Linked DNA regions of Caenorhabditis elegans. The protein of the gene in region 1 purifies or fractionates together with the protein of each later gene. This does not show direct contact. Each region holds a gene or a part of one and is shown on either strand. Other genes may lie near its edges. The genes, in order: ttc-1 and C35D10.6.

Evidence for each region.
Region 2: the proteins of ttc-1 (region 1) and C35D10.6 fractionate together in Caenorhabditis elegans (co-fractionation; one large-scale study listed by BioGRID). This does not show direct contact.

The regions. Positions count from the first base shown.
Region 1 is NC_003279.8:10,674,378-10,678,592, reverse strand, and holds ttc-1 (TPR_REGION domain-containing protein), read left to right. Parts: upstream 1-1,781; 5' UTR 1,782-1,789; coding exon 1,790-1,915; intron 1,916-2,255; coding exon 2,256-2,384; intron 2,385-2,895; coding exon 2,896-2,997; intron 2,998-3,048; coding exon 3,049-3,315; 3' UTR 3,316-3,425; downstream 3,426-4,215. Other genes in the region: lonp-1 (Lon protease homolog, mitochondrial), read left to right, coding at 1-204, 597-836, 883-1,125, 1,175-1,339, 1,387-1,530; C34B2.3 (Protein kinase domain-containing protein), read right to left, coding at 3,769-3,849, 3,897-3,983, 4,033-4,137.
Region 2 is NC_003281.10:4,857,122-4,861,287, forward strand, and holds C35D10.6 (NADP-dependent oxidoreductase domain-containing protein), read left to right. Parts: upstream 1-2,217; 5' UTR 2,218-2,222; coding exon 2,223-2,282; intron 2,283-2,330; coding exon 2,331-2,476; intron 2,477-2,814; coding exon 2,815-3,193; intron 3,194-3,235; coding exon 3,236-3,433; intron 3,434-3,484; coding exon 3,485-3,565; 3' UTR 3,566-3,651; downstream 3,652-4,166. Other genes in the region: C35D10.7 (ULP_PROTEASE domain-containing protein), read left to right, coding at 1-220, 266-320, 545-1,242, 1,418-1,570, 1,626-1,776, 1,970-2,016; C35D10.10 (Thioredoxin-related transmembrane protein 2 homolog), read right to left, coding at 3,722-3,881, 3,930-4,166.

The DNA.
Region 1 (4,215 bases):
GATCGAATGGAAATGATTGATGTTAGCGGTTATTTAGCCGAGGAAAAAGTTGAAATTGCTCATCAACATCTCATTCCTCAACTCAGAAAAGACACATCTCTCGCCACAGAACAACTGAAAATTGAAGATTCTGCGTTGGAAGAGCTCATTAAGCATTACTGTCGTGAATCTGGAGTCAGAAATTTACAGCAACATATTGAAAGAGTATGTTTTGGTAAAAACAGGACGATCCGCGAGACCCGAAGAACTCGGGGGATGTCCAATTGGGGGGATTACCAACTCGGGGGATTGGCCCCGCCCACATAACCGTGGCTTGCAATACGCCCATTTCTGCAACTGCCGCACGGTTTTAAAACTGTATTTTTCTCAATAGAGCGAGAATTAACAAGAAAAAATAATTTTTAAACCGTGCGGCAGTTGCAGAAATGGGCGTATTGCAAGCCACGGTTCTGTGGGCGGGGCCAATCCCCCGAGTTGGTAATCCCCCAATTGGACATCCCCCGAGTTCTTCGGGTCTCAGATCCGCGCCTCGAGTTGATTGTTCTGTTTCGACAATTATATTTAGATTGCTTATAGAAATTACCTTTTTTTTCCAGATTTTCCGTAAAGCAGCTCTTCAAATTGCTGAACAACAAAACGAGGATGAGGAGCCAGCCGAAAAAGCAACAACTGCTATCACTGAAAACTCAGAAGCCGAACCAATCACCTCTACATCATCTGCAGATTGTTTAAAATCTTCAGCCGAACAAATTGTAGTTTGCACAGAAAACTTGCAAAAGTTCGTTGGAAGACCCAAATTCACATCAGATCGAATGTATGAAGTAACACCGCCTGGAGTAAGCGAAAAAACTGTTTTAAAAACTTAATTCACGTTCCGTTCAGGTGATAATGGGTCTCGCATGGACAGCAATGGGTGGATCTGCACTTTATATTGAAACTGTATTGAAACGACCTGTTGATTTGACAAATGATAAGGATGGAAGTATTGAAACAACTGGAAATTTAGGAGATGTAATGAAAGAAAGTGTTCGAACAGCGTTGACTGTTGCAAAAGGAATTCTTGCAAGAGAGCAACCCGATAACAAATTCTTCGATAAAGCACATATTCATATTCATGTACCCGAAGTGAGCTTAATCTTGAAATAATTTCAACTAACCAATTCCATTTTTCTAGGGAGCAACACCAAAAGACGGACCATCTGCAGGAGTAACTCTTGTCTCAAGTCTTCTTTCACTCGCTTTAGACCGACCTGTTGTGCAGGACATGGCGATGACTGGTGAAATTTCATTAACCGGAAAAGTGCTGCCAGTTGGTGGAATTCGGGAAAAAGTGATCGCGGTGGGTCCTCTGTTCTTTTTTCGTTCAAAAATTTCATTTTTTTTCAGGCTCGCCGTGTCGGAGCAAAACGAGTCTTCCTTCCAAATGAGAATCGTCGAGACTTTGATGATTTACCAGAATTCATGAAATCAGAGTTGGATATTCGATTCGTTTCGCATTATGATGAGCTCTACGAGCATCTCTTCCAATAATACGTGTCCCTTTCTTTCACCCCCAGTTAATACCTTTCAGATAGATTTTGTTGATTCACCTAATCCATTTTTTCTTGTTTTGTTATTTTAAAAACGTTTTGAAAAGAAAAAAGTTCAGGCTATAAACATTTTCCTACTTTTATTTTTGTTTTTTTTTTAATTTTAATAATCTCAAGTTGTTTGATCTTTTCAAATATTTTTCATTTAAATTCTAAATAATATTCTCTTTATTTAAAAACCATTATTTTCAGCTTTAGAAATGGCAATTATCGAAGAAATTTTCGAGGATGAAGAGGATCAGATAACAAAAGTGGATTCATTGAAAAAAGAAGGAAATAATTTCTTTGCGAATGGAGAATTCGAAAAGGCGAATGAAAAATATCAGGTATTGGAATGTTTTGCAAACGTGCGGCGCGGTTTGAAGCTTGTCGATTTACGCAGGATTTTGTACTACACGTGGACAAGTATTAATTCAATTTTCATATAATTTTATAGTAAAGAAAACAATAATTTGAAAAACAAAAATTTTGATTTTTAAAAATATCGAAAAATTACAAACAAGAATTTTAGCTGAAAACTACACAATCATCTCAAAAAAAATCCCCACTTGTCCGAGTGTAGTACAAAATTCTTCGTAAATCTACATGCATACAACGCGCCGCAGACTTGCAAAATTAACGGCTTGATCGGTCTATTTCGACAGTATACAATTGAAATTTTTCCAGGAAGCCATTGCCTCGTGCCCTCCAACATCCACAGAAGTACAATCGATTCTTCTTTCAAATTCAGCAGCTGCACTTATCAAGTTAAGAAAATGGGAATCTGCTGTGGAAGCTGCGTCGAAATCAATTGAGGTACTGAAGAGAGCATGAAATATTACACAGACGCGAAATTTTCCCAATTTCGACCACAAAATACGGCCTTGTCACTAAAATTTGGCGTTAAAATGAATAAAAGTTTGCAGCTTTAAGTATTTCTGAAATTTCCAACAAAAATTTCGATTTTCATTTTTCCTGAAAATCAAAAAGAAAAGGGTTTTGAAAATTGACAAAAAAATCCTTTTCTTTATCAAATTTTGTTTACTTTTACGAAAAAAACATCAGGAAACACATAATTATCTTCTACAAGAGGAAAAATTGGCAAAATTTTAAGATATTTTTCAAAAAATTAAAAAAAAATCGAAATGTCGGAAAACTAATTTCTCATAAATCGAAAACCCGGCTCCTATAGTTGGAAACTACAGTAATCCTCAAAAGGCGTCCTTTTGCATTTAACAAACGGTTTTCGTGTTGAGACCCTTAGATAGCAAAATTTTGCGACTTACTATTAGCTAGTTAGCTTGAAACAAATAAAATCAATTTTCAGATTGGAGCAACCAACGAGAAAGCACTGGAACGACGGGCGTTTGCATACTCGAATATGTCAGAAAAGTATGAGAATTCTATTGAAGATTATAAACAGTTACAGGTATCGATTTTGGTAGATTTCTTTTTGAAATTAGAAGTAAACTTTTTCCAGGAATCTCTTCCAAAACGCCGCGTCGAACTTGATCGGAAAATCGCTGAAATCAATGAGAAAATTAATAATCGAAATGAGGCGATGAAAGCCGATGTGATGGAAAAACTGAAGGGTTTCGGAAATTTCTGTCTATCGCCGTTTGGGCTCTCGACAGACAGTTTTGAGATGGTCCCGAATGGAAATGGAGGATTTTCGGTTCAAATGAAAGGTGCTACGAATAAACAAGAAGGTGCAAGTCAGGAAAAGAAAGAAGAGGAAAATGCATAATTGGCCGACATTCTTTGAATTTTCTGTACATTTTCTATCTGCATTCCGGTTAATAGTCTTCTTGCTTTCAATTTCGTGATTTTAAAGATTAAAATGAACATTTCTATTTGTATTCGTGAAATTTTAATCGCTCACACTAAAATGTTCTCTGGTCTCGAAAAGATCGAAACTTTAAGGCTACCGTATCAGGGATGGAGGGGATCTACAAAAGGGTCATTCCTAAATATATGATAACTCATCTTTTGAAATGAAATTATATCGTTTACTACAATGTAACTACATATAAAATGCAGTTTCGTTCTGTTCATATGTAGTTTGATCTCTGATCTTTGAACTCTCTTTTCTCTAGTTCTGTAGATGTATTGTACTGGGAGTTTATGGAATAACGTTATAAGATATAAAAACACTTTGAATATTCAAAAAAGTCAATTTATTTCCATAGAAAGAGAGCTATTAGGTTGCCTGCTCCACACTTGGCTTCTGCGGATTCTTGAACTCGTTGATCTCAGCCTCCTCCCAATCGTACGGGAATTCCTGTAATTATGATAAATGATAACACTTTTATTGTGTGAAAGACATACATTTTTGCCACTGAAGAGAATCGCGTTGGTGAGAAGTCCGTAGATTTCTGTGTAGTTCGGAGTGTCGGTGAATGAAAGTTTGTCAACCTGAAAAAGAATGGATTGTTAGGGGAAAAGTTGCAAAGGAGTTGCCTACTATTTGCATAATGTCGACGAATTCTGGTGGAAGACCTCCGAGCATTTCACGCATTTGAAGACCATTTCGGCACAACTTTTGATAGTCATGCACTTCTTTTGGTTTCTGGAAAAGGATACATAGAGAAGGGCTTTGATATATGTCAAAAATGCATTTACACCTACTTCGCCGTGCAAAGTTATA
Region 2 (4,166 bases), on another chromosome or scaffold:
CACATCGGATAATGAAGTTAGCTCGAGCTCTGACAGAAATAACGATGAACCAAGTGTGCGGAGAAAGAGAAAATCCGTCGAGAATATGTGTCATGAACGAGAGCACCACGGGGATCATTTACAGATGCAAGTAGCTTCAGTGATTGCATCGAACCTGGGACCCATGGTGGAGATTGTGGAAAAGAAGCTCTTGCAACACAAAAATGCGGAAAAACTTTTGGTAAGCAACTGGAGTAAACTTGATTACTGAATATTTCTTTTTCAGAACGATGGCCGGGAAGTTTTCATTAAAACGTTGGAGGAACATAATCAGAAAAAAGGTATTGTGATAATAATAACATTTATTTGTCTCTGTAATAGCTATAGTGGGTGTCAGATGCTTTACATATTTTTGATTAATTTCTTTAAAGGCTCATTGTAGGGAGACACTTTTATTTTGATGATAGGAACTTTTCACAGCACATGTGCCTTCCATGTAGCTTTAAAAAATATGTTTCCACTGATATATAATCTTCCGCACTTTTTTATCTAAAAATAATTTCAGAAAAGGTTGAAAGAAAGGCGAAGCTCGTAGCAATACCACCAATGAAAGCTAGAAACAGGAGGTCTTCACGCAATAGCTTGGTGTACATAGATGGTCCTTCTACTTCTGAAAGTCATTCTTCAATGGTTCAACAAGTTCCCATCATCGACAACATTCCCGAAGTGCTCGAAAATGAGACAGCTGTCTGTTCCATTTCTAGTGAAGCAGATCATAATTCGAGAGGAATCAAAGATAATCAAGAATTTGCAATTGAAATCAGTGGGGAAGTGTCTCGAACCGACGACATTTGTGATGACTTTGCCGTGTTCCTCAAAAAATGCACAGTACTATTGACGAAATTTATTGACTCCTACTATGATTTCCGTTCAACTATGAAACTTAAGCCAGAAGATGCCATTGAGCACTGGAGTGCTGAACGTTTGACCAAAGAGGAACACGCCGCGAGGGTCACAAGATTTGATGTGGCGATCGCTAGAGCGACACGTGTGCAGTATAACATCGATATCAAGCTTCTAACAAAGCAAAGTTTTGTGTTTGACGATGATCGTGAAGCTGCCATTAATAAGAGGCTCGCCCGAATCGAGCGTTTTGTGAACGAACAACATGAAGAAATCAATTGGTTTTGTTTTTCAAATTTTTCACTCATGGATATTGGAGAAACGAAGGATAGATATTGTCTCGGCGATTTTTATGACAAGGTATTACAACTTTTAAAATGTAAAATGGCCACGAAATACTGAATTTGATAACGAGACTGTTTCAAAAATTAATTTTTTTTTTTTTGAAGTCTTGTTGTAAAATTCGGTTTTTAGGGTCATTTTAACTATTGAAACAACACAAAAGTTTGATATATAATGTGTATTTTTTTCGCAGGCTATCAGTATGATTCCAAAAGTGAAAGATGTCCCGAGTGTGGTGCAACTGGCGAAAGAGTGTAAGATGTGGTCCGCATTTGAACGAATTCTCAAGCAATACAATTTTGAGCCGCTGAAAGTTTTTGAAGAATTGCAAAAAATGCTTGAAAAGGTACATTTCAGTTGTTCTGTTCGAATTTAAATGTTTACATAAAATTAATTTTCAGGATTATTTTCTACCGAAAGGTAAGATCTTCTGCCAATTCTTGCTCAATGTCGCCCAACTGTTTTCCTATGATGTCGTTAAGAATGAATGGTCTTGCATCAAACAAATCGACGGGACGTTGTTTTCGGGAGTCCCATTTGATCGCGATGGAAGTGAGTTGGCTGAAAATTATTGAAAAAAAATTAGAAAATTACATTTTTCATCTGAAAAATTGGAAAGTTAGTCTGAAATTCTGAAATATCACAAAAGAAATGCGAAAACGATAAATTTAAAAAAAATTAAAAATCCAAATTAAAAAAAAAACCGAAAACTTCAGATAATCATAATAATCTATGTATTTTTCAGATCTACTCCCCACTTCTCAAAATTCGCCGACCGAATGCTCTTCTTGATTGTGTCATTTTTCTCATTTTTCCATGTAACACATCTAATCATTTCATTTTCATCTTACCATTTTCATATTTTAAACTTGCTGCACAATACATTTTTCCTTTTAAAAATCGTTTTTTTTTTCAGTCTTTTTTGGTTTGAAGCCAACAGTTATTTATTTACTTTTAAACAATTATTTCAAGTGTAATTGTTTTGCTTTTCAGGATCAATGGAGCATCGTGAATATGTTAAGAACAACATGCCATTGATCGGAATTGGCACGTGGCAGGTATTGACTTCGAATAAATCAATTTTTTGACTAAAAAATAAATTTAAGGTTCAAAAAGAAGAAATTCTTCGTCAAGTGATTGATGCAGGTTTCAAAGAAGGATATCGATTCATTGATACGGCACAAGTCTATAACAATGAAGCTAAAATTGGTAGAATCTTGGAAAAATTGCTTCCAGCAAATGGGTTGAAGAGGTAGGTTTTAAAAAATTTATAATTGTTTCTAAATCTTTTTTTAATCCTGCGAGAAAAAACTGGTTTTGGTGTTTCTTTGATTTGAAACCCATTTTCTCTAATTTTCAGCAAATTGTTTCGCTAAAAATGTTTAAATTGAAAAATGAAAAAAAATTCGACAAATTATATTCTAAACCAATAATCAAAGCAAACATTTAAAAAAATTTAAACTAGGTTATTCATTCAATATTATGTAATTCAAATATAGTTCAGCCACTTTTAATCTACAAAATTGAGAAATAATTTTTAAAAATTCAATAAAACCACAGAGCCACCAATTGAAGCTATCTTTTTTTCAGAGAAGACATCTGGATCACGTCAAAGTTAGCCCCATCTAATGCTGGCGTTAAGAAAGCTCGGGAAAGCATTGAGGAGTCACTGAGCAATCTTAAAGTCGAATATTTGGATCTTTTGCTCATTCACTGGCCTGGAAGTTCCCTGAAAAGCGAAAATCCGGCAAACAAGAAACTGAGAGTGGAAAGTTGGAACGTTATGTGTGAAATGATGGCTGAAGGAAAATTGCGTTCAGTTGGGGTCTCTAATTTTGAGATTTGTCATTTGGAAGAATTGAAAAAAGATTCTAATGTTGTCCCAGCAGTCAATCAAGTTGAGTATCATCCTCATTTCCATCAGGACGATCTGGTCAAATACTGTAACGAAAATAACATTCATTTCCAGGTGGGATTTTTCTAAATCTCGCTCTCTTGAAGTTTTTTTCAGGCGTACAGTAGCCTTGGCAGCCCAACATATCGTAAACAATTATCCGAAGAACCTCTGATCAAAGAACTTGCTCAAAAGTACAATGTCGAGATTCCTGTGCTCCTTCTTGGATTTGCTTATTGCCAGGGAATTAGCGTACTTCCGAGAACTACAAATCCAGAGCATGTTGCTACCAATTTTAAAGTTACTAAGCTGGCGGTCTGTTTCTAGATGGTTTTTAGTCCTAATGTCTAAAATTGGGATTTACAGATTACTCAAGAAGACATCGATCGTTTATTGGCTTTGACTGTCGAACACAAAACTTGCTGGGATCCTCGCGTAGTGGTTTGATTTCCAAAATCATTTATCATTATAAATTTAAAGCTACAAATAATCCTCTATATTCTAAATAGATGTATAAATTTTAAATGCCGAGTTATTATTTCTTGTTGTTGAAAGATCTCGTGATTGAGTCGTATATGGAAATTTTGAGCTGTCATCGAATATTTAATCTTCTTTCTTCGCTTTCGCGCCTTTTTTCTCCTTCTGCTCATTGTACAAATTGAGAAGATCGAATGCAAGAACACAGTTCTCTTCACTGAACACAAATGGAACAGCACGACGACTATCGTTGACTAGTGGACGACGAGCGATTTCCTTTGCGTCCCTAGAAATTACAGATTGGTTGAAAATTAAAATAAAGCTTAAATCTTACTTGAATACACAAATAGTTGGTAACTGTCGTGACATTGGATGAGCATTCACACGGAACCGCTCGCCTTCTTTTGCCCATCTTCCAATATCCAATTTCCCAAACTTCATGTTTGGAAGTGTGAACTTTTGACTCAATTCCGCAAAAACGGGTGAAGTATGTCTGCATTCTGGGCTCCATGTTGTGAAGAATTGAATAACCCAGATGGTATTTCGATTTCTGGTAAGTTCTTCGAAAAGC